4 linked regions of the Saccharomyces cerevisiae S288C genome follow. The gene in region 3 interacts genetically with the main gene of each other region. Each region holds a gene or a part of one and is shown on either strand. Other genes may lie near its edges.

Evidence for each region.
Region 1: mutations in PTC4 (region 3) and SUL2 together harm fitness more than expected from each alone (negative genetic interaction), as found in Saccharomyces cerevisiae (one large-scale study listed by BioGRID).
Region 2: mutations in PTC4 (region 3) and SPO74 together harm fitness more than expected from each alone (negative genetic interaction), as found in Saccharomyces cerevisiae (one large-scale study listed by BioGRID).
Region 4: mutations in PTC4 (region 3) and INM2 together harm fitness less than expected from each alone (positive genetic interaction), as found in Saccharomyces cerevisiae (one large-scale study listed by BioGRID).

What each region holds. Positions count from the first base shown.
Region 1 is NC_001144.5:320,653-328,220, reverse strand, and holds SUL2 (sulfate permease), read right to left. Parts: upstream 4,678-7,568; coding exon 1,996-4,677; downstream 1-1,995. Other genes in the region: GIS3 (Gis3p), read left to right, coding at 1-491; NYV1 (Nyv1p), read left to right, coding at 806-821, 963-1,708; GEP5 (Gep5p), read right to left, coding at 5,043-5,924; XDJ1 (Xdj1p), read right to left, coding at 6,141-7,520. UniProt on the Saccharomyces cerevisiae protein: High affinity uptake of sulfate into the cell.
Region 2 is NC_001139.9:183,049-189,312, forward strand, and holds SPO74 (Spo74p), read right to left. Parts: upstream 2,347-6,264; coding exon 1,105-2,346; downstream 1-1,104. Other genes in the region: RNA-dependent ATPase ROK1, read left to right, coding at 1-1,036; SUA5 (threonylcarbamoyladenylate synthase), read left to right, coding at 3,011-4,291; HUR1 (Hur1p), read left to right, coding at 4,416-4,748; Ca(2+)/Mn(2+)-transporting P-type ATPase PMR1, read right to left, coding at 4,568-6,264. UniProt on the Saccharomyces cerevisiae protein: Involved in the pathway that organizes the shaping and sizing of the prospore membrane (PSM) during sporulation. Probable component of a core structural unit of the scaffold that initiates synthesis of the prospore membrane.
Region 3 is NC_001134.8:486,699-489,920, reverse strand, and holds PTC4 (type 2C protein phosphatase PTC4), read left to right. Parts: upstream 1-1,540; coding exon 1,541-2,722; downstream 2,723-3,222. Other genes in the region: alpha,alpha-trehalose-phosphate synthase (UDP-forming) TPS1, read left to right, coding at 1-1,016.
Region 4 is NC_001136.10:1,033,103-1,038,785, forward strand, and holds INM2 (inositol monophosphate 1-phosphatase INM2), read left to right. Parts: upstream 1-2,892; coding exon 2,893-3,771; downstream 3,772-5,683. Other genes in the region: ZIP1 (Zip1p), read left to right, coding at 1-1,961; MGP12 (Mgp12p), read right to left, coding at 2,129-2,473; Smc5-Smc6 complex subunit NSE3, read left to right, coding at 4,093-5,004; RTT103 (Rtt103p), read right to left, coding at 5,178-5,683. UniProt on the Saccharomyces cerevisiae protein: Responsible for the provision of inositol required for synthesis of phosphatidylinositol and polyphosphoinositides and involved in the inositol cycle of calcium signaling.

The sequences.
Region 1 (7,568 bases), on a different chromosome or scaffold from region 3:
AGTTATACTCTATTGAAACATCATGTAAAAGGAAGAGTATTTTACCCGAAGTCGAAGTAGATGACCATCTGTTGAAGCAGCTAACGTATTCCGAAATTCGGTCTTTGGAAATCAAAAAGGAGCCAAATGTCTCTACGAACGATATTAAGCTTGCCCTAATTACTAGGAAAAAATTATGGTCTGACATGGTCCATGAAACAAGAAATGATCTTTTTGGCGATTCTACCCCCTGGAATTTGCACTTTGTTGCAACGACAAGCAATACGGAACCTTCGCAAGGCCGTGAATCCGCAAGCGAACATGCAACGGCGGATTTGAAAAGTTCTTTGGTCCGCGTACACTCAGACGTCAAGCCATGGTTCAACAATGGCGGCACAATGCTCAAACCATGCGGAAAACTAAATTTAGGCAAAGTCACCAATAAGACTTCCGCACCTACGAGAGAGATTCAATATGTCGTAAAGGGCTGGTGTGACAGCAGGTTTCTCTGATAGACCCCCCACCTTTTCATCGCCTTCACCCCACCCATTTGCATTATCTAAAAATAGTAAACTATATATTCTACCACCACATTCATTATATATAATATTTAAAACAACGCATTACCACCAAGCGCCCGGGTAATATTCGCCTCAAACGATCGAAGAAAGAAAAAATGAGGTCACAATAATGATGAAAAAAAGCCCCTCTATGAATTTTCTAGCACTTGACTAAGTTGGAGCAACAGCTATTAAATTTGAAGAACAGAGTGAAAAGCGACAATTTATTAAGCTGTTAGAGCATTGGACTTTTATATTTTTACCAAATGAAACGCTTTAATGGTATGTATAAATATTTCTACACAATTAACAAATGTTTAAAAAAGGGATTATGCGAATGCTCATCCCCCCATGCCATAATTTTACTATGTTACATTCAGTAGACTAACGTTCCATTTTGCTTGATTTTGCATATGGTCTTAGTAAGTTATGTGGAAGTTATAAAAAATGGTGAAACAATATCTAGTTGTTTCCAGCCGTTCCAGAAAAACGAAAACTATGGTACAATAACTTCAGCAAACGAGCAGATAACGCCGGTCATTTTCCATAATTTGATCATGGATATGGTATTACCCAAAGTAGTTCCGATCAAGGGGAACAAAGTTACCAAGATGTCAATGAATCTCATCGACGGATTCGATTGTTTCTACTCCACGGATGACCATGACCCCAAAACTGTGTACGTTTGCTTCACATTAGTAGATATGCCCAAGATTTTGCCCATCAGGATACTAAGTGGGCTGCAGGAATACGAGTCCAACGCTACAAACGAACTTTTAAGTTCGCATGTAGGTCAAATACTAGACTCTTTCCATGAAGAGCTGGTCGAATACCGTAACCAAACTTTAAATAGTTCTGGAAATGGCCAATCTAGTAATGGGAATGGTCAGAACACTATAAGTGACATCGGGGATGCCACCGAAGACCAAATAAAGGACGTCATCCAGATAATGAACGATAACATCGACAAGTTCTTGGAGAGACAAGAAAGAGTTTCTTTATTGGTGGATAAAACTTCCCAACTAAATAGCAGCAGTAATAAATTTAGGCGCAAAGCGGTCAATATAAAAGAAATAATGTGGTGGCAGAAGGTCAAAAATATTACGTTATTAACTTTCACTATTATACTATTTGTAAGTGCTGCTTTCATGTTTTTCTATCTGTGGTAAGTAAATAAAAAAAAAGGGGAGCTGTCCCACGACAATAACATTAATAACGGTTGTATTTCTTTTGTTCCTGAGAGGAAGAGAAAAATAAAATAAAAATAAGGTAAATATTTATAGGTATGTATATGCTCACGATGGCACCATCCTACCTATTATTTCTTATTATATAAACAGTGTCTATCTCATTATGATATTAAATGTATACTTTTAAGGGGGAAAACTTTTTGGTTTAGGAATATAGAAAAAAAGAGATGATATAAATGTTTGCATGTCCATTGTAAATGCATTGGCTAGATATCCCATTTAGCAAAATCTGGGATATCGATATGGAAGAAAGGTAGATTTGTTCCTGAAGCGGTATAAACGCTATATTTTTCAGGATTTTCTTCGCCTTGAGGTACTCTGGCGACGTGATAACTTGTATGACCGGCAACAATGGATTCATCACTGTATTCTTCGTTCAGAGTACCAAATCCTCTGCTAATTAAACCTCTCTTCACCCATGGTGAAATGATACCCACAAAGTGGAATTCAACTTGCCTATCTGCATATTGATTTATGGCCTTTCTCAAATCAACCAATGATTGAAGAGCCGTAGCGTCTGTCTGTGCCACTTGTGAGAAGTCTAAGCATAGTATTTTCAGCAATGGCCTGTCATCTCTTTCAACATCGACTGAGGTGCTGGGCGCGTTTTCCATGGATTCAGGGTCGTTCTCCCTTTTCTTCCAGAATTTCAAATTCTTTAAGAAAGCAGGTGCTTCCCATGGACCAGGATCATTCCATGGACGGTCAGATTTTTTTCTGTGGCGAATTAATTGACCACGTCTGGTAACTTTTTTAACTTCTTCGGTTATGATGTTGTAGTGTCTGGAACAGTTGAGATAGGTGTAGCTCTCTGATAGCCTATAAACAAGAACACCGTCTGGTGGGGGGAGAATCTGAACGTCCGGGTTCAATTCTCTTGTGTATTTATGATCAAACGGTATCCATTTAGTATGGTATTTTATCCTTGGCTGGCTAATCGAAGAAGATGGAGAATCAAAGCCCTTTGTTTGAACGTTTGTTTCTATTTTCTTGGAGGAATTTGTGACGTATTTGGTGGAACTTTCCTTGTCATCCTCACCACCATCTTCTAAAGTGGAAATACCATTGTTATTTTCAGACACGTAGCTAACCACATCGGAGTCCGGTCTGACGTAAGCATCAGTAACTTCAGCGACTTCCACACGACCCAAGAATTTTCCCGCTGGGAAAGCCACTTTTAAAATGAGCATTGCACATGACCAGCACATGGCAAAATAAATACCATCTTCAATAGAGGCAAATACCGTTATTAGGACGGTGACAATGAAACAGATGAAGTCCAATGGATTCATCTTCCAGAAATTCCAGGTAGTTTGATAAGAGGCCAAAAGATCAGATACAGCGTGAATGATAACTGCAGATAAGGTAGCCTTTGGAATGTAAAAGAATGCGCCGGTCAAACAATATAATGCTAAAAGAACACATGAACCCGAAAACAAACCAGATAACGGCGTACGGACATTACATTTAGCCTTCAAAGCAGACCTTGAAAAGGAACCAGTCGCTGGGTAAGCATTGAAGAAAGTACCTAAAAGGTTCGAGACACCAATAGCAATCAATTCTTGGTCGGGGACGACTTTATAGTCGTTGATTCTACCAAAAGACTTCGAAATAGCGATATGCTCCAACAATAACACAATAATGGATGCAGGCAAATTTGGACCAAGCTTAGACATTAATCCTGGTGGAACATGGAAAACCCCGACTTCTTTCAAACCGGATGGAACTGAGCCTAGGATGCTGATGGGCCTCTCCGATTTAGATTTGCCTCTTGTGATTGCCCAACCAATACAAGTGAATACAATAATAATGATACCATTTCTGGAAGCCTGAGCGTAAAAATATGTCCATTTGATAATTTTGTGTAACCTTGGGTTTTTGGAGTTGTATCTATCGTTCAACCTTGGTCCATATGTTCCGCACCACCATTTCCAAACATAAAGAAGGAAAAGCGGGATTAGCCCAAAAACTGCGTCCAGTTTGGTATCTGGTAAATGTTTCAAGGTCTCTATGACCACTTTATAGGTGGCAGCTCTCGTGTTAACCAAACTATTGTAACCCATTAGTGCTGGAACTTGACCCCATAAGATATTAAACGCGGATCCAGTCATAAATCCAGCGACTGCATTTAAGGAAATCAGTTCGACAAGAAACCCTAGACGCAAGAAGCCAACTGCTGCCGAAATGATACCACATAGTAACGCTAGAGTCGTTGCAATAACGGGACCAGTTATGGCAGAATCTCCATCAGGATATTTTGCCGTGACATCCGCAATGACTTTGGCGGTCTGCAAAGACATGACAGCCACGGGCCCAATACAAACATCTTTTGATGTAGCGAAAAAAGAGTAGGAGTAAGCACCAATAAACGAGGAGTACAACCCATACTGCGCTGGTAGCGTGGCGACTTGTGCATATGACATGGATTGCGGCACGAGAACACAGCCAATGGTAATTCCTGCAATAAGATCCGCAGTAAACCAGCTAAAATTGTAATGTGGTAGCCAGTTGATGATGGGAAAAACACTCTTAAGATAACTACATGCTCCTTTCACCGTGAGATGAGATCGTATACTGTGGTCATAGTACTCTTTTAGCGATACCGTTGTTTCTTCAAATTGGGAAACGGAATTGTCATACAACGAGACATCTGAAGGATTAAAGTAGTCAATCTTCGAGCCTTTTACGCCCTTTGAGCTGTTCACTGCGTTGTGCTTTGCTACAGAATTGCTCTCTAAGTCCTTATCATTAAACGTGTCATTATTTTCATTATTTTTATATTGGTCATACTCTAATTCTAAATCATCAAGATCTGGAACGGTGTTGTTAGTTTCCTGAAAGTCAGGAATTTCTACCTCTTCAAAGTTTGGATAACCTTCCCTGGACATATCTTAGATAATTCCCTGCTAATCTATACACACACACACCTCAAGAAAGAAAAATGTTACAGAAAGATAAAAACTTCCAGGCTTTAGTACGAGCCTAACCTGTTCAAGTATTGTGTTGATACCTTGATATATATATATATGCGTATTATTGAACGCAGAACACTGAACGGCAGATCATCCCTCAACCGGCTATGACTAAAAACTGGACTTTGGTTCAACCATACCGCTATCCGACGTTGCTAGTTTCTGCGATCTTTTTCAGTCCTTGTTTAGGACCACAACTGTGGCCGAATTTCTCTCTTCACGTGACCTGACACGGCCACAGTGGCACGTGACATTTACTCCAGTATAACAGCCAACAACAACTAATCAACTTCCCACCGGGTGCAATGAAACATCAAAGGCTCCGTGGTGGAGTCGGCATTAGTAGTCGTATATGCCCTTGCACAAGCTCGCATATAGAGCCTTCTAAGGCGTCGCTCTACAGTCTCGTCATAGAAGACGGCAGTCAATGCCAGCTCGTTCTCAGGAGAGAGCGGGGGGTTTTCTATGAAGAGGCTCTTGTAAATATGAGACAGCTGTCTTGCGAAAAGTTGGGCAATTTGTTTGGCCGGAGAAACTTCGCCAAGAGCGTTCCTGACAGGAATTTGCACGCCAGGGGAGGGGTATTTTTTGTGATTGTAGCTTAGATGACTGTTCGCTATTAAAAATTTGTAGTGGTTTCCAAGAGAATTTATCAGGAATATCCTCTCTGGTGTGAAGGTATCAAGATCTGTCCCACTCAGACGCATTAACGATGGCGGCGTTTGGACCCAAGGGTTTTTAACGTTAAACAGTGTTATCCAATCCGCCTTCAGCCAGACGCTCCTTGAAGACGTTGAATTTAGTTTCCCATTGTTTACAGCGATGGAATCTACCAAGTCTCTGTGGTTCTCAAATGGCCAGTGAGTCAGTAGAAAGTGGTAGTGTTTTTGGAAGAGATGCGCATGTCGTGGGAGCGGGTTATTCCATTGGAAGTGCGTTTGGTAAATGATACTCTCCAGTGCTTTTAAGCTTGCCCTTAAATCTTGTCTTCTTTGCGCCTTCTCGTACAGTTGTAGTGATTTTGTTAACGGCACGGCTATTTCTTTGAACTTGTAATCGCTTTGTTTACTTGTGAGTGTGGTCGTCAATGCTACCTTGGTTATTTGATGAAGCGGCGTAGACTCTATGACCGGCAGTAATAAGGCGTTAACCTGGGACGCCATTGTTGCTCCAAGTTCGCAATCGCTGTTCTGATAGAAGGCCTTTGTATGCTTGCTTTATGTCCGCCGCGATGGGGATTCTTCCTATTTTTCTACTGAAGGTGCGAAAGACTTCATTCTTCACCGCATTCAGTAAATGAATTTCATATATATACATATATACAGGTAGGATAACTTATGAAAAAAAAAAAAAAATAGAATAAAAAGTTATTGATGCCATCATTGGATACAGCAGTACGAACTTCTTGCTTTCTGATGCGCTGAATCCTGTGCTTCTGGCTTGAACGGCCTTATCCCTTCTGGAAGATCGTCCGTGTGAATGATCCGGAAATTTGATATAGTTTCGTTGTTAGTCAGGTTGCTGTCATCTTCAGTATTTACAGTCGCATGTGAGGCACAAGATGAAGATGACGGCAGATTCGTTTTTATTGCTAGTAGTTCTGATTTTTCATTGAACCAGTTATCTGGTGGAAATTCAATATGAACGAAAACATACAGATCGCCGCACCGGCCATGAGGGTTATCTAAAATGGGCCAACCTTCATTGGCGATTTTGATGGTGTCACCAGGTCTTACTACTCTGCCAGGTTTAACGCTCAATGTTAGTAACCTGTCGTCGAAGGTTTTTGTCAAAAATTTCTCAAATCCCGTCAAGGCCTCGCTTAACGATATGGTAATGCTTGTATACAAATCTTCCCCGGCGCCGTCGTCAAAGTTCTTCAAAAAGATTTGCTTCTGCTCCAAGTTTTCTTGTTTTTCAGTGAGATGGAACTTTAAATCACCACATGTGGTCTTATCGATTTCCTCGTCCGCCATCCCCTTGACTGTAATTACGTCGTTAAAGTGGTGTCCCGGAGCCACGTTCACTGTGATGATTTCCTTCTTTGACAGGAGCCCCAAGCCTGCGCAATCGGGGCAAAAGTTCTTTGGATTCTTGGGTCTTTTAGTGTACTTCCCCTTACCATTACATTTCTCACAGACCACCCATTGCGAAGCTACCAAACCGGGACCAAACCTCTTCAGACGTTCCTTTGAACCCTTTCCAGCGCATGATTCACATTCCACATCGTGTGTAACGTGAATTTTCCTCTTTGGTTTCCAGCCAGAACCGTGGCACTTTATACAGATGACCTGTCTCTTTAAATCAAACTTCAGCTTCTTGCCCATGTACAAATCCTTCAAAGTAAGAGATATATCGATATCGATATCCTTAGAGCTTGTAGAGTTGCCCTCTTCGTACGCATCATACTCGCCAGGGAAATTATTTCCATCGTGACTTCCATTATTGAAGAAATTGTTAAAGAAGTTCATAAAATCTTCATCTCCAAAGCCATTAGCGCCACCGCTGCTAGCGGCACCATTATCATCACCATACAAGTCGTAATGTGATTTCTTCTCCGGATCGCTCAAGATCTCGTAAGCGGCAGTGATCTCTTTGAATTTGATTTCATTTACCTCCTTTGAGTCTTGATCCACATACTTGTCCGGATGATGTTTCAGGGCAAGCTTTCTGTAAGCAGTTTTAATCTCTTGCACGGTCGCATCTCTCGTCACCCCCAACACATCGTATAACCGGTCTCCTCTATCACTGCCACTCATTCAAAACTACACCTGCGTACTTACTTTTCCCTTTCTTTTGGGTCCAAG
Region 2 (6,264 bases), on a different chromosome or scaffold from region 3:
TTTGGAGAAAAAAAGGCCTCTGCAAGTTGCACTCTTATCTAAATCTTTAGGCGCTAAATTGAAAAACAAGGTAGTTAGTGATAAGAAATATGATATAATCATTTCTACCCCATTAAGACTAATCGATGTTGTGAAAAACGAAGCTCTCGATCTCTCCAAAGTTAAGCATTTGATATTTGATGAAGCTGATAAATTGTTTGACAAAACATTCGTTGAACAGAGTGACGATATTTTGAGCGCCTGTAGAGAGCCATCGTTGCGTAAAGCGATGTTTTCTGCGACCATTCCATCCAATGTAGAAGAGATTGCACAAAGTATAATGATGGATCCTGTTAGAGTTATTATTGGCCACAAGGAAGCAGCAAATACAAATATTGAACAAAAATTAATATTTTGTGGTAATGAAGAGGGTAAACTAATTGCTATTAGACAACTCGTTCAAGAGGGTGAGTTCAAGCCACCGATCATAATATTTTTAGAGTCTATTACAAGAGCAAAAGCGTTATATCATGAATTGATGTACGATAGGATTAACGTAGATGTGATTCATGCAGAAAGAACAGCCTTACAAAGAGACAGGATTATTGAACGATTTAAAACTGGTGAATTATGGTGTTTGATCTGTACCGACGTTTTAGCTCGTGGTATTGACTTCAAAGGTGTCAATCTGGTCATCAATTATGACGTTCCAGGATCGTCTCAGGCTTATGTTCACAGAATTGGTAGAACAGGTAGAGGTGGGCGGTCAGGTAAAGCTATCACATTCTATACTAAACAAGACTCAGTAGCTATTAAACCAATAATAAATGTCATGAAACAAAGTGGTTGTGAAGTATCTGAGTGGATGGATAAAATGGCTAAAATGACCAGAAAGGAGAAAGAAAGTATAAAAAACGGTAAAGCGCATAAAGAAAGAAAGCAGATTACTACTGTGCCTAAGATGGATAAGGCCAAAAGAAGACGTCAACAAGAAATGATTGCAGCATCCAAAAGAAGAAAAAATGAAGAACTTTCAAAAAAACATTTCTCGAAATAATATAAACAAACGTGCGTATGCAAGACATGTATATATGATTAGTAGTTTTTTTTATTTACTTTCATTGATCAATTACGTGACCAGCTATACATTTCTTCATTACTTCTTCTGGGCATTCTATTTAAATCGATATTTCCAAACGACTTTGTCATTGCTGCATAACCCTTTTGATAACTATCGTTTAACCCCACACCTCTGTAAGATTTCGATTCCACTCCATTATGTATATTTCTTCCAGAGTTAAAATGCTGCTTGTAATCTGAATTTTTTCTCTGGAATAGAAGTTCATTTTGATTTTCAAATGACATAAAAGGTTTTGTTTGATGTATATTGTTAGGGTGGAAAAAATAGGGTGTTCCACCAGTTATGGAGTTTTGTAGTTCTGCTTTTTCTCCCCAAAAATTTGATGTATTGGACGTGAAATCATAGGTTTCCTCGAAAGACTTTCCGTTTCTTTTCAATCCTAATGGGGGAGAAGGGCGGTTATCTATTGGCAAAAGTGGATTTCTAAAATCCCTAATGGAAGGTAAATTTTGACTTTCAGGTTGATTGGAGAATCTACGAACTGCTAGCTCTCTATTTAGCAAAGAGTTTTCTTGCATATGAAAGAAGTTTAAATCATTCAAAAGTTCCCCCAAAATTTTGAGCTCATATTCTTCATCCAAGTCAATATCTCTGTATTCCAAGAATTTCTTTTGCATTTGAACTGCGTCGTCAAAAAATGGAACACTTGACAAGCAAATGTCAATCTCTTTTTTAATGTATGTAAGCAAGTTGGTTTTTAGAAAACTCACCTCTAATTGTGTTTTGGTAAACGCTGTTGTGGCAGCTGAATACTCGGTTGGAGCTGAATTTGGCCTCTGTCCCTTGTATGGTGAAGTGGAAATATTCAATTCCATGACCGGTTCCTTTATTTCTTCTAATCCGCTTGTAAAATGAAAGGGCTGCATGTGTTTAGTTTTGTAACCTTCTGTATTACACCAAAAACTTTCCCAATTTTTAAATTGACACTCTTTCAAGCTTGGACTAGAGTCCGGAGCCAGTTTTAAGCCATCATTAAAATCGTCCGTGTGTTCAGATCTTTCGTGTATATCTTTATTTTCATGGAATATGTTGCTTGCAGTCCCCATTTTAGATGACTTTTCTTCATCTTTTTGGGACTTCTGTTTTACTGGACTATTTCTTTTACTTTCCTTACTAGTATTGCCATCTTCTTGAGAATCCATGTTAGGATACGCAGGCAAATCTGAATGGATGTTATTTGGAAAGTTTTCCTTTTCTAATCCATTTAAAAGAGTGCCAGCTCCCATCACTCAACCAATTCAGCTCTTTCCTTGCCAATACAACATAACCGGGAAGAGTTTCAAGTTTGACTTCCAACTAAATACCTAATGTTTTATTGTTGTTATTTATATTTCTTGTGACACAAAAGAGAACATTGATGTCATTTGAGCCTTATCGTTGGAAAGGATAAATAAGCGGTTTAAAAGGATAAAAGAAGCGCAAGCAACAAATCTCAACACAAGTGTAAACCATATGAATGGGGTTAAATGCCTTCTTCTTTGAGATATAAAAAGGAAGTAGAATTTAATATATTAGACATTTTTTTGATTTGAGCCTAAAAAAGATAGCCCTGTAGGGGGCTCGAACCCCTAACCTTATGATTAAGAGTCATACGCGCTACCGATTGCGCCAACAAGGCTATTTCGTTGAAAAATTCAGGCTTCAAAATTATTATATGTATCAAAAATATTTTTTTGAGAAATTTCAAATCATTATCTACGCTAGCCTTACTATTTTTTCACCCAGAAGATAGTAACCTCATCGCACATACCTATTGAAGCTGATAATATTTGAAGCGAGAGCTTTATTCTTCTCCTCAAATTTTTTTTTTCTTCTGCGCTGTTAACTTACCACTAAACCTGTTTCCATTTTTAATGGTAGTCCTGTTTATTATTCCATTTTTAGAATTGTATGTACCTTGGACGACATTTTTTGGCAATGACATCGAAAGCACTGTTTGATACCAAGATCTTAAAAGTTAACCCGCTATCAATCATTTTCTCCCCTGATGCGCATATAGATGGTTCCTTACCAACGATAACAGATCCTGAAACGGAAGCAGCGCTAGTTGAAGCGGCGAGGATAATAAGAGATACAGATGAGACTGTGGCTTTTCCAACCGAAACTGTTTATGGTCTTGGAGGTTCTGCTTTAAATGATAATTCAGTGCTTAGTATATACAGGGCCAAAAATAGGCCTAGTGACAATCCTTTGATTACACATGTTTCATCCATTGATCAACTTAACAGAAAGGTCTTTAATCAACCGCATCTATCAGGTACATCCTTGTTTGATAACATACCCTCAATCTATCGCCCATTAATTTCAAGCCTTTGGCCTGGCCCATTAACAATTCTTTTGCCAGTTCCATCTTCAGAGCATAGTGCATTATCAAAGTTAACGACCGCAGATCAGCCTACGTTTGCGGTACGCATACCCGCTAATCCAGTGGCTAGAGCACTGATTGCCCTGAGCGATACACCAATAGCTGCTCCTTCAGCGAATGCGTCTACTAGGCCATCTCCTACTTTAGCGTCTCATGTTTATCATGATCTAAAGGATAAAATTCCCATAATTCTTGATGGCGGAGCGTGCAAGGTTGGTGTAGAAAGTACTGTTGTTGATGGGTTATGTAATCCTCCTACGCTACTGCGACCTGGCGGTTTTACATATGAAGAAATTGTTAAATTGGGTGGTGAAGCTTGGTCTCTTTGTAAAGTTGAGAATAAGAAAACAGTTGAAAAGGGCGAAAAGGTAAGAACGCCTGGTATGAAGTATAGACACTATTCCCCTTCAGCTAAAGTTGTTTTACTAGTTCCTCATTGCGAAGGCGATGGCATTCTTAAGGGCGTTGATAGGATGGAAAGATTAAAGAGGTTAATCGAAACGGAATTAAAAGCCAACAGTAATATAAAAAAAATTGCGATTTTAACTTCCCTAAAATTACGTGATTCCGACTTACAATCTAAGATCTTTAATGAACCCGATTTTTCTTCGAAAACTTTCATCATCGAAAGACTTGGCCAATCTGGTGAAGAAATACAGACTAACTTGTTTGCAGCTTTAAGAAAAGTGGATGAAAATGATAAAGTAGACCTAATATTTGTCGAAGGTATAAATGAGGAAGGAGAAGGATTAGCTGTTATGAACAGATTGCGAAAGGCGGCTGCAAATAATTGTATACAGTTTTAAATAAAACTGTGATTAACTTTTGAAAATCATAACCACTGATTACGGAGATTTTATATCTAGTCCGGAAAAAGAAGGAAAGAATAAAATTTTATATTGCTTTGTATATACGAAAAGTCGCCCATACATGTTTATCTTAGTATCCGTTGTAAATATATGTACATATATACATCTACATATGTTCCCATTAATTAGTACATTTACCTCAATAGGGTTGGGCGTCCTCATGAAAGATAAAGGGAAGGAAGGAAAAACGATAAAAGCACAAAATGTGACATATCAAACATTTGAGAAATACGTTGAGTCTTCTTCATTCTTTTTCCTCGTCCACAATTTTCTCAATTCATCAACGATGAAAACGCTACTGCTGATGAGCAATAACAATAGTATATCAGAGATACCAAGTTTCTCAGTTTTAAAGATACTTTGGAAAAATGGTATATATATAGCGCACATTTGACCTAACAGAGACAGTCCAACGGCGTAGTTGAACATTTTGTTCGTGAAAAAGCCGATTTCGAAGATTGACTTTGTGTTATGTCTGCAGGCCAAAGCATTAAACATATCAAAAAAAACAAAACAAGTAAATGTCATAGTAGTATCTCTAGCAGTTACTTTACCATCTTCGGCCATCTCTTTAACAAAAATGTAAACTGTCCCAACGATGATACAGGCCGCGGTGGTTAGTAAACGTTTCATTACATCATGGGTCAAAATTTTATCGGTACGTTTTCTTGGAGGTTTTTTCATAACTTCATGATCAACAGGTTCCACACCTAAGGATTGAGCTGGTGGCCCATCCATTAAAATATTTATCCAAAGAATTTGCATTGCGTTCAGTGGATTGGGTAGTTTAAACGCTGTAGATAGTGCAACTAATGATAGTGCGGCAACAGAAGTAGACAATTGAAAAGTCAGGAAATTCTGAATATTATTAAAGATACCTTTACCCTCTTCAATGGCAGTTAAAATAGTACTGAAGTCATCATCAGTTAAGACCATATCTGAGGCTTCTTTGGCTACATCTGTACCAATTCTACCCATAGAAACACCAATATCTGAAAGTTTCAACGCAGGAGCGTCGTTAACACCATCACCAGTCATTGCTACCACATCACCCCTCTTTCTTAATGCACGAACAATGTTTAACTTATGCTCAGGCGTAGCACGAGCAAAAATATTAACGTGGTCGATGACATTGGCCAGTTGATCATCTGACATTTCATCTAATTTATCACCGGATAAAACGGAAAGCTTTGGATCAATAACTGGAATACCAATTTGTTTTGCAATGTTTACTGCGGTATTCTCAGAATCACCAGTGATCATAATAATATGGACACCACCTTGTAGTAATTGTTCGATGGCAAATTTAACGTTCGGTCTTGGTGGGTCATTCATACCGATTAAACCAGTAAAGGTTAAATCTTTGATTAGGTCTTCGGTTAGAGGAGTTGATGAATCAGACAAAGTTAGTTTAGCAAATCCAAAGACACGCAAACCTTCAGATGCCATAGAATTTGCGCACTCATTTATCGTAGCTTTTTGGGCTTCAGTCAACTTTTCAGTTTTTTTACCCTTTGATTTCAAATAACTTGTGGAGTACTCAAGAATTCTTTCAAATGCACCTTTAACATAAACTGTACACTTATTGTCGACAGGGTTGAGAATCTTGGTTGCCATTAATTTTCTTTTCGAGTTAAATGGAAGTTCCTGAACTTTTTGAACGGTGTTTCTGATATCAGGCATTTCAAAGTTTGCCAATTGCTCTAAAAGAGCTACATCAGTAGGATTTCCCAGAAATATGGCATGTTCTTGAGAGAAAGATGCATTATTACAGAGATTACCGATAGTTAGAGTTTCCCTAACGTCTTCAGTCAAATAGTTTTTCAAATTTCCATTAGAATTTTTAGTCTTCTTATTTTTGTCTAATGAGAGGACGTTTAGCTTATTGGACATACTGTCCAAGCACCAAA
Region 3 (3,222 bases):
ATTTGATGTTGGTTCCGGAAATGTTGAGAGTCAAGATTCACGAGAAGCAACTGCAAAACGTTAAGGTCGGGTGGTTCCTGCACACACCATTCCCTTCGAGTGAAATTTACAGAATCTTACCTGTCAGACAAGAGATTTTGAAGGGTGTTTTGAGTTGTGATTTAGTCGGGTTCCACACATACGATTATGCAAGACATTTCTTGTCTTCCGTGCAAAGAGTGCTTAACGTGAACACATTGCCTAATGGGGTGGAATACCAGGGCAGATTCGTTAACGTAGGGGCCTTCCCTATCGGTATCGACGTGGACAAGTTCACCGATGGGTTGAAAAAGGAATCCGTACAAAAGAGAATCCAACAATTGAAGGAAACTTTCAAGGGCTGCAAGATCATAGTTGGTGTCGACAGGCTGGATTACATCAAAGGTGTGCCTCAGAAGTTGCACGCCATGGAAGTGTTTCTGAACGAGCATCCAGAATGGAGGGGCAAGGTTGTTCTGGTACAGGTTGCAGTGCCAAGTCGTGGAGATGTGGAAGAGTACCAATATTTAAGATCTGTGGTCAATGAGTTGGTCGGTAGAATCAACGGTCAGTTCGGTACTGTGGAATTCGTCCCCATCCATTTCATGCACAAGTCTATACCATTTGAAGAGCTGATTTCGTTATATGCTGTGAGCGATGTTTGTTTGGTCTCGTCCACCCGTGATGGTATGAACTTGGTTTCCTACGAATATATTGCTTGCCAAGAAGAAAAGAAAGGTTCCTTAATCCTGAGTGAGTTCACAGGTGCCGCACAATCCTTGAATGGTGCTATTATTGTAAATCCTTGGAACACCGATGATCTTTCTGATGCCATCAACGAGGCCTTGACTTTGCCCGATGTAAAGAAAGAAGTTAACTGGGAAAAACTTTACAAATACATCTCTAAATACACTTCTGCCTTCTGGGGTGAAAATTTCGTCCATGAATTATACAGTACATCATCAAGCTCAACAAGCTCCTCTGCCACCAAAAACTGATGAACCCGATGCAAATGAGACGATCGTCTATTCCTGGTCCGGTTTTCTCTGCCCTCTCTTCTATTCACTTTTTTTATACTTTATATAAAATTATATAAATGACATAACTGAAACGCCACACGTCCTCTCCTATTCGTTAACGCCTGTCTGTAGCGCTGTTACTGAAGCTGCGCAAGTAGTTTTTTCACCGTATAGGCCCTCTTTTTCTCTCTCTTTCTTTCTCTCCCGCGCTGATCTCTTCTTCGAAACATCATGAATAAAAAGAAAAAGGAAATCAAGAAAAAAAAGCCATAATTTATCCCACATTTTTTTTTATTGTCGCTGTTCACACCGCATAACGAAGATATTGGCTACATAAACAATTGACATTGGATCTCTAGTTTTACGTTGTTTTCAACTGCATCTTTTTCTTCTTTCTTAGCACGGAGCCCTTACGTCTTCTTTTCTATCCCATCGCCCTTTTTGCCTCTATTCTCCCCTATATAGCCATTTTAGAAAGTAACTTCAATTTGAAGAAGACAAAAATGGGTCAATTGCTTTCCCATCCGTTGACGGAGAAGACCATAGAATATAATGAATATAAAAACAACCAGGCGTCAACTGGTATTGTTCCACGATTTTACAATTGTGTGGGGTCCATGCAAGGCTATCGTTTGACTCAGGAAGATGCACATCTAATTAGAAATGAAAACTCTGTTGTGTACGTACGATTTTTCAACCCATTCATAGACAAATACGAAACCCTGTCATTGAACGTCTTCGCAGTATTCGATGGTCATGGTGGAGATGATTGTTCGAAATTTCTAAGCGGCGGCCGCCACCATCGCGATGGTAACGGCAGTAGCAACGGTAATGGTGAACCCAACGCTGGCCTGATCAAATGGATTGCGTATAGTTTCGAAAACCACCATTACACATCTACAACTAATAACGACTCATCAAAATTTAAAAGATCCTTCAATACGTTGGAAGGACTTGTTTCTCAAATTTTTAAAGACGCTTTCATATTGCAAGATGAAGAGTTATATCGACATTTTGCCAACAGTTCGTGTGGATCTACAGCAGTAGTAGCATGCATCATAAACGAGGAATCACTGTATGTGGCTAACTGTGGTGATTCGCGATGTATTCTTTCCTCCAAATCGAATGGCATAAAGACGATGTCTTTCGATCATAAGCCACAACACATAGGAGAATTGATACGTATAAACGATAATGGTGGTACTGTCTCTCTTGGAAGAGTGGGTGGAGTACTGGCTCTCAGTAGGGCATTTAGTGATTTCCAATTCAAGAGAGGTGTCACTTATCCACATAGAAGGACAAAACTAACAAATATTACCCAGAATTTAACTTATGGAACCCCACCACAAGAAGCACAAGTTACCGTTGAACCAGACGTATTGATGCACAAGATTGACTATTCTAAAGATGAGTTTTTAGTACTGGCTTGCGACGGTATATGGGATATTTATAACAACAAACAGTTAATTCACTTTATAAAGTATCACCTGGTATCAGGGACGAAGTTGGATACAATAATAACAAAATTGTTGGACCACGGGATAGCGCAGGCAAATAGCAATACTGGTGTCGGCTTTGACAATATGACTGCCATCATTGTAGTGCTAAACCGGAAAGGCGAAACATTGCAAGACTGGTTTAATAAAATGAAGACCCGTTTGGAAAGAGAAAGGGGCCTAGTGTAAGGAAAAAAAATTATTTTTCTTCTTCCTTTTTCTCATACATATCTGAACGTGTGGTTAATGTGTCTGTGTATTAGTGTATAGGATCAACTGCTTGGGAGATGAAATAACAAAAGTACCTTAAAACGACCTCATTATCACATTTTTTTTTTTACTTTATTATTTTATTGTGCTTTTTAGTGTTGTAGAAAACCAAAGCAATCCTTTTAAATGAATTTTTATATACATACGTGTATATGAATATGAATATGAGTTTACCCCATCTTTAAGCTCTGCTGTGTTTTGGAAATAAATTCACATATTCATGTTTAGTTTTCCTTTTACATAATTTGGTCTTAGTACAGAGAAGTCCTCTTCTTCGCTTCTTCGCTTTTGGTCTTTCTGAAAAAGATCGATAAATAACATCCTAAAGACAGGAACTGAAAGACAACACAGAAAAGGTATACCAAGGGAAAAACATAATTAATCTCTATAGCTTTCAAGAGCGAAAATATCTTCCAAAT
Region 4 (5,683 bases), on a different chromosome or scaffold from region 3:
ATGAAAAAGTCGGAAAATATAAATCTTGTTTAGAAACTCTTCAAGAAAGGATTGCAACGTTGACGAGCCATAAGAATAATCAAGAAACTAAATTGAAAGATTTAAGACAAAACCACCAACTATATCAGAGAAGGATAAGCGGATTTAAGACAAGTATTGAAAACTTGAACAAAACAATAAATGATTTAGGGAAGAACAAAAAGGAGGCGGATGCAGAATTAATGAAAAAAGGTAAAGAGATTGAATACCTGAAAAGAGAACTAGATGATTGTTCAGGTCAGTTGAGCGAAGAAAAAATCAAAAACAGTTCCTTAATACAGGAAATGGGAAAAAATAGAGAAGAAATGATTAAATCAATTGAGAATTTCTTTTCAGAAGATAAAGCACACCATTTACTGCAATTTAACAAATTCGAAGAAAGAGTTCATGATTTGTTTGAAAAAAAATTACAAAAGCACTTCGATGTGGCAAAAGATACCCTTAACGTAGGCTTGAGGAACACCACTGTAGAGTTGAGTAGTAATACAGAGACCATGCTAAAGCAGCAATATGAAGATATCAAAGAAAATCTTGAACAAAAAATGTCATCCAGTAAGGATGAAATGGCAAAAACAATAAATGAGCTGAGTGTAACGCAAAAAGGACTTATAATGGGAGTACAAGAAGAACTATTAACGTCATCAGGGAATATTCAAACTGCTTTGGTAAGTGAAATGAATAACACAAGGCAAGAGCTTCTTGATGATGCGTCTCAAACAGCCAAAAATTACGCGAGTTTGGAAAACTTGGTGAAGGCATATAAGGCAGAAATAGTTCAGTCGAATGAGTATGAAGAAAGGATAAAACATTTGGAGAGTGAAAGGTCAACTTTGTCTTCACAAAAAAATCAGATTATTAGCTCTCTTGGTACTAAAGAAGCACAATATGAAGATTTGGTCAAAAAGTTGGAGGCGAAGAATATCGAAATTTCACAAATTTCTGGCAAAGAACAAAGTTTAACTGAAAAAAATGAAAACCTTTCTAATGAACTGAAAAAAGTCCAGGATCAACTAGAAAAACTCAACAATTTGAACATCACAACAAAATCAAATTACGAAAATAAAATATCTTCTCAGAATGAAATTGTGAAGGCTTTAGTTTCCGAAAACGACACTCTGAAGCAAAGAATTCAACAGCTAGTAGAAATCAAAGAAAATGAACAGAAGGATCATACAACCAAACTGGAGGCTTTCCAAAAGAACAATGAGCAGCTACAAAAGCTAAACGTCGAAGTAGTACAACTGAAGGCTCATGAATTGGAGCTTGAAGAGCAGAATAGGCACTTAAAAAATTGTTTAGAAAAAAAGGAAACTGGTGTTGAAGAATCACTAAGCGATGTAAAAACCCTAAAACAGCAAGTGATAGTTCTGAAATCGGAGAAGCAAGATATAACAGCTGAAAAGTTAGAACTTCAAGATAACCTCGAAAGTTTGGAAGAAGTCACCAAAAATTTACAGCAAAAGGTGCAATCGCAAAAGAGGGAATTAGAACAGAAGATTAAAGAGCTAGAAGAGATAAAAAACCATAAACGGAACGAGCCTAGTAAAAAAGGTACACAAAATTTTACTAAACCATCAGATTCACCCAAAAAAAATGCTACGACGTCCAACTTATTTCCTAATAACTCTGCTGCCATTCACTCTCCTATGAAAAAGTGTCCTAAGGTGGATCATATAAGTAAGTCAAGAATTAATTCATCCAAAGAAACATCCAAATTTAACGATGAGTTCGATCTTTCTTCATCATCAAATGACGACCTAGAGTTAACCAACCCTTCCCCAATCCAAATTAAACCAGTGAGAGGAAAAATCAAGAAGGGTTCAAATTGCATGAAACCTCCAATTTCTTCAAGAAAAAAATTACTACTAGTAGAAGACGAAGACCAGTCATTAAAAATAAGCAAGAAAAGGAGAAGGAAATAGAGGATAATGGAAAATTTGAAATCGTTTTGTGCGAATACATTTCATTTTGTTCCCTGCGTAAGAAGTATGCATAGTAAAATTAGCGTAGATATAGTTTTTTGAGGTATATACTTATTCATAGCTTATAAATATTTACAGTGTTGTAACTCTAGTAAAAACAAAAGAGGTCATCTAGATTGCATTCTCCTTATTTTATCACTGATATCGTCTTCTTCAAGAAAGTGCAGGATCTTGGTGCACGACTTAGGATCACCAACTTTCTCAATATGAAGTACTGGTATGTCGAAGCAATATTCCTTCCACCATTTTGCGTTTCTTCGGTCAGTTATGTTGACTATCTCTAGTGAAACTGCTTTATTATGAAATTCCTTTCTTTCAAATACATCATCTATCACTTCCTTTGCTTGATCGCATAACCCACAATTAGGCTTTGAGAAGAAAGTTAATTTCACTCCAGCATCATGTAACAATACCCTCGAAGTATGTATAGAACAGCGGAACGCTCTCAACATGGTGATATGTTCCTTAAGTTTTATGTCTTACTGAATAATTACGAATTTCTGTTATGAATTAAACGAAACTTTACAATGCATCAACTCCGAACTCTCTACGGAAAGGTAACAACTTGCGCACATCATAGACCCATAAAGCGAAAAAAAGGGAAGTCAATCACAGTTATATTGACATTCCAAAGCCAGTAACTAAAAAACTACAAAAATGGATTCTCACAGTCATATTAAGTGACCTCTTATTATTTCCCTTAAAACGGTAATTCTTAATAAAGAACGTCAGTGTTCCGAGTGATAACGCCGTGAAGCACCCTGCTTCATTACATATGAAATCGTGGGGAGAAAAAATCGTGAAAACAATATAGAGAATAAGTGAAGTTGAAGCTCCACAAGCCCTTGTAAAGTAAACTTAGATTGAAGCGATGGTATTAACGAGGCAAGTACTAGAGGAAGTGGAGAACACATTTATTGAATTACTTAGGAGTAAAATAGGACCTCTCGTAAAATCGCACGCAGGAACAAACTTTTGTTCATATGATGATAAAGCAAATGGCGTAGATTTGGTAACTGCTTTAGACAAACAAATTGAATCTATAATCAAGGAAAATTTAACGGCCAAGTATCCCAGTTTCAAATTTATCGGAGAAGAAACTTATGTAAAAGGTGTCACGAAAATAACTAACGGCCCTACATTTATTGTTGATCCCATCGATGGTACTACTAATTTTATTCACGGTTACCCCTATAGTTGTACATCTCTAGGTTTAGCTGAAATGGGGAAGCCGGTTGTTGGTGTGGTTTTCAATCCTCACTTAAACCAACTATTCCATGCTTCCAAAGGCAATGGAGCTTTCTTAAATGATCAGGAGATAAAGGTTTCAAAAAGGCCATTGATTTTGCAAAAATCCTTAATTGCTTTAGAAGGAGGTTCGGAAAGAACTGAAGGTTCCCAAGGAAACTTTGATAAGAAAATGAATACTTATAAAAACTTACTAAGTGAGTCCGGCGCCTTTGTTCACGGGTTCAGAAGTGCAGGAAGTGCTGCCATGAACATATGCTACGTAGCGAGCGGCATGCTTGATGCTTATTGGGAAGGTGGCTGCTGGGCTTGGGATGTTTGTGCCGGTTGGTGTATTCTTGAGGAAGCAGGAGGAATAATGGTTGGCGGAAATTGTGGAGAATGGAACATTCCATTAGACAGAAGATGTTACTTGGCTATTAGAGGTGGATGTGAGTCGATGGAGCAGAAGCGATTTGCAGAATCGTTTTGGCCTCACGTTGCGGGTGAGTTAGAATACTAAATGCCCCCCTCAGGTGTCGTTAAATAAGCTACATCTAAGAAAAGTTTATATAGTACTTCACGCAATTCCTACTAGTATTTTTTTCCAGTACAGGACGATATCTTGAAGCAGCAACTTGATTTCACAGGTCACTTAGTGTGGGCTTCTGACTCAAGAATAGCAAGTATTACATGCATGCGGCCCTCTCCTTTAACAGCGCGATATACGTGAAGAAAAATTTCAATGAAGAGTAATGCGCTTATTATCAACTTCGATTGAAGGGGTCCTATATCAGTATGCTACAAGGGAAGGTTGTTCGATAAACATAAGCTTCTCATTAGCATGAGTTCTATAGATAATGACAGCGATGTGGATTTAACAGAAGATTTAGCCGTGGCCAAGATCGTTAAAGAGAATCCTGTAGCTAGAAAAATGGTTAGGTATATTTTATCGAGAGGAGAATCTCAAAATTCGATCATAACAAGAAACAAGTTACAATCTGTTATACATGAAGCTGCTCGCGAGGAAAACATAGCAAAACCGTCTTTTAGTAAAATGTTTATGGACATAAATGCTATACTGTATAACGTATATGGGTTTGAATTACAAGGATTGCCGTCAAAAAATAATATGAACGCTGGCGGTAATGGAAGCAATAGCAATACAAATAAATCAATGCCTGAGCCACTGGGACATAGAGCCCAGAAATTTATCTTGCTAAACAATGTCCCGCACTCAAAAAATTTTGACGATTTCAAGATTTTACAAAGCGCTCACACTTATGAAGAGCTAATAGTTACCGGAGAGTATATTGGTGACGATATAGCTTCAGGAACTTCCAATACCTTAGAAAGCAAGTTGAGTACAGATCGAGATCTTGTTTACAAGGGTGTTTTGAGCGTCATTTTATGCATTGTTTTCTTCTCTAAGAATAACATATTACATCAGGAATTGATCAAATTTCTAGAGACATTTGGCATTCCAAGCGATGGTTCAAAGATTGCTATACTGAACATTACTATTGAAGATTTGATAAAAAGTTTAGAAAAGCGCGAATATATAGTCAGATTGGAGGAGAAATCCGATACCGACGGGGAAGTGATATCATACAGGATAGGTAGAAGAACTCAGGCTGAGCTTGGACTAGAGTCTCTTGAAAAATTGGTGCAAGAAATCATGGGCCTTGAAAAGGAGCAGACTAAAAGTTTGCACGATGATATAATAAAAAGCATTGGCGATTCATATTCTATATAGCATTGCATAGGTGTCCATGTAGTTTAGGTGCGCATCTTTTTTGTCGAGGAAATAGTGAAGATGAATACGAAATAAACTATGGGCAAATAGTTACGAAAAAAGACTGGACTTAAACGGGTTACTATATATTTGTATAAGTTATCTCCTTGTTTTCTTTTTACTCAACCATCATATTAATTTGCAAGCTTACTTAACAAGTCTTGTATACTAGAAGAAACCCCTCCGGAATTCTCAACACCTTCGTCGGTTTGGGCGCCGACGTGGCCTTCTATATCTAACTCATAATGTCCATCCTCACTGTTGAAAGTACCATCTTCACTCGTCTTCGAATCAAGATGAACCTTTTTTTCCGGTATGTCATTAGCGTCATCATGACCTATCATATCATGTGTTCGTTTCATACCAAATTGATTGTCACTAGGATTATGAGTAGAGTTTTTATGTTCGCTATCTGTCTTTTCTACAACTTCATTCTTCTTATCTGTGGTGCTAATATTAGTAACGCCATAATTGCTGTCATTGGATCTATCATCGTAATTTTTGTCATCATCATCATCATCATCATCATCATCATTATCACCATCATCGTCATCGTCATCTCCATCCCCCACTTCATACGTAGGAATAATATTGTCTTCATCAACGTTTTTATTTAATCTGGATGGGTCTTTAGCAGATA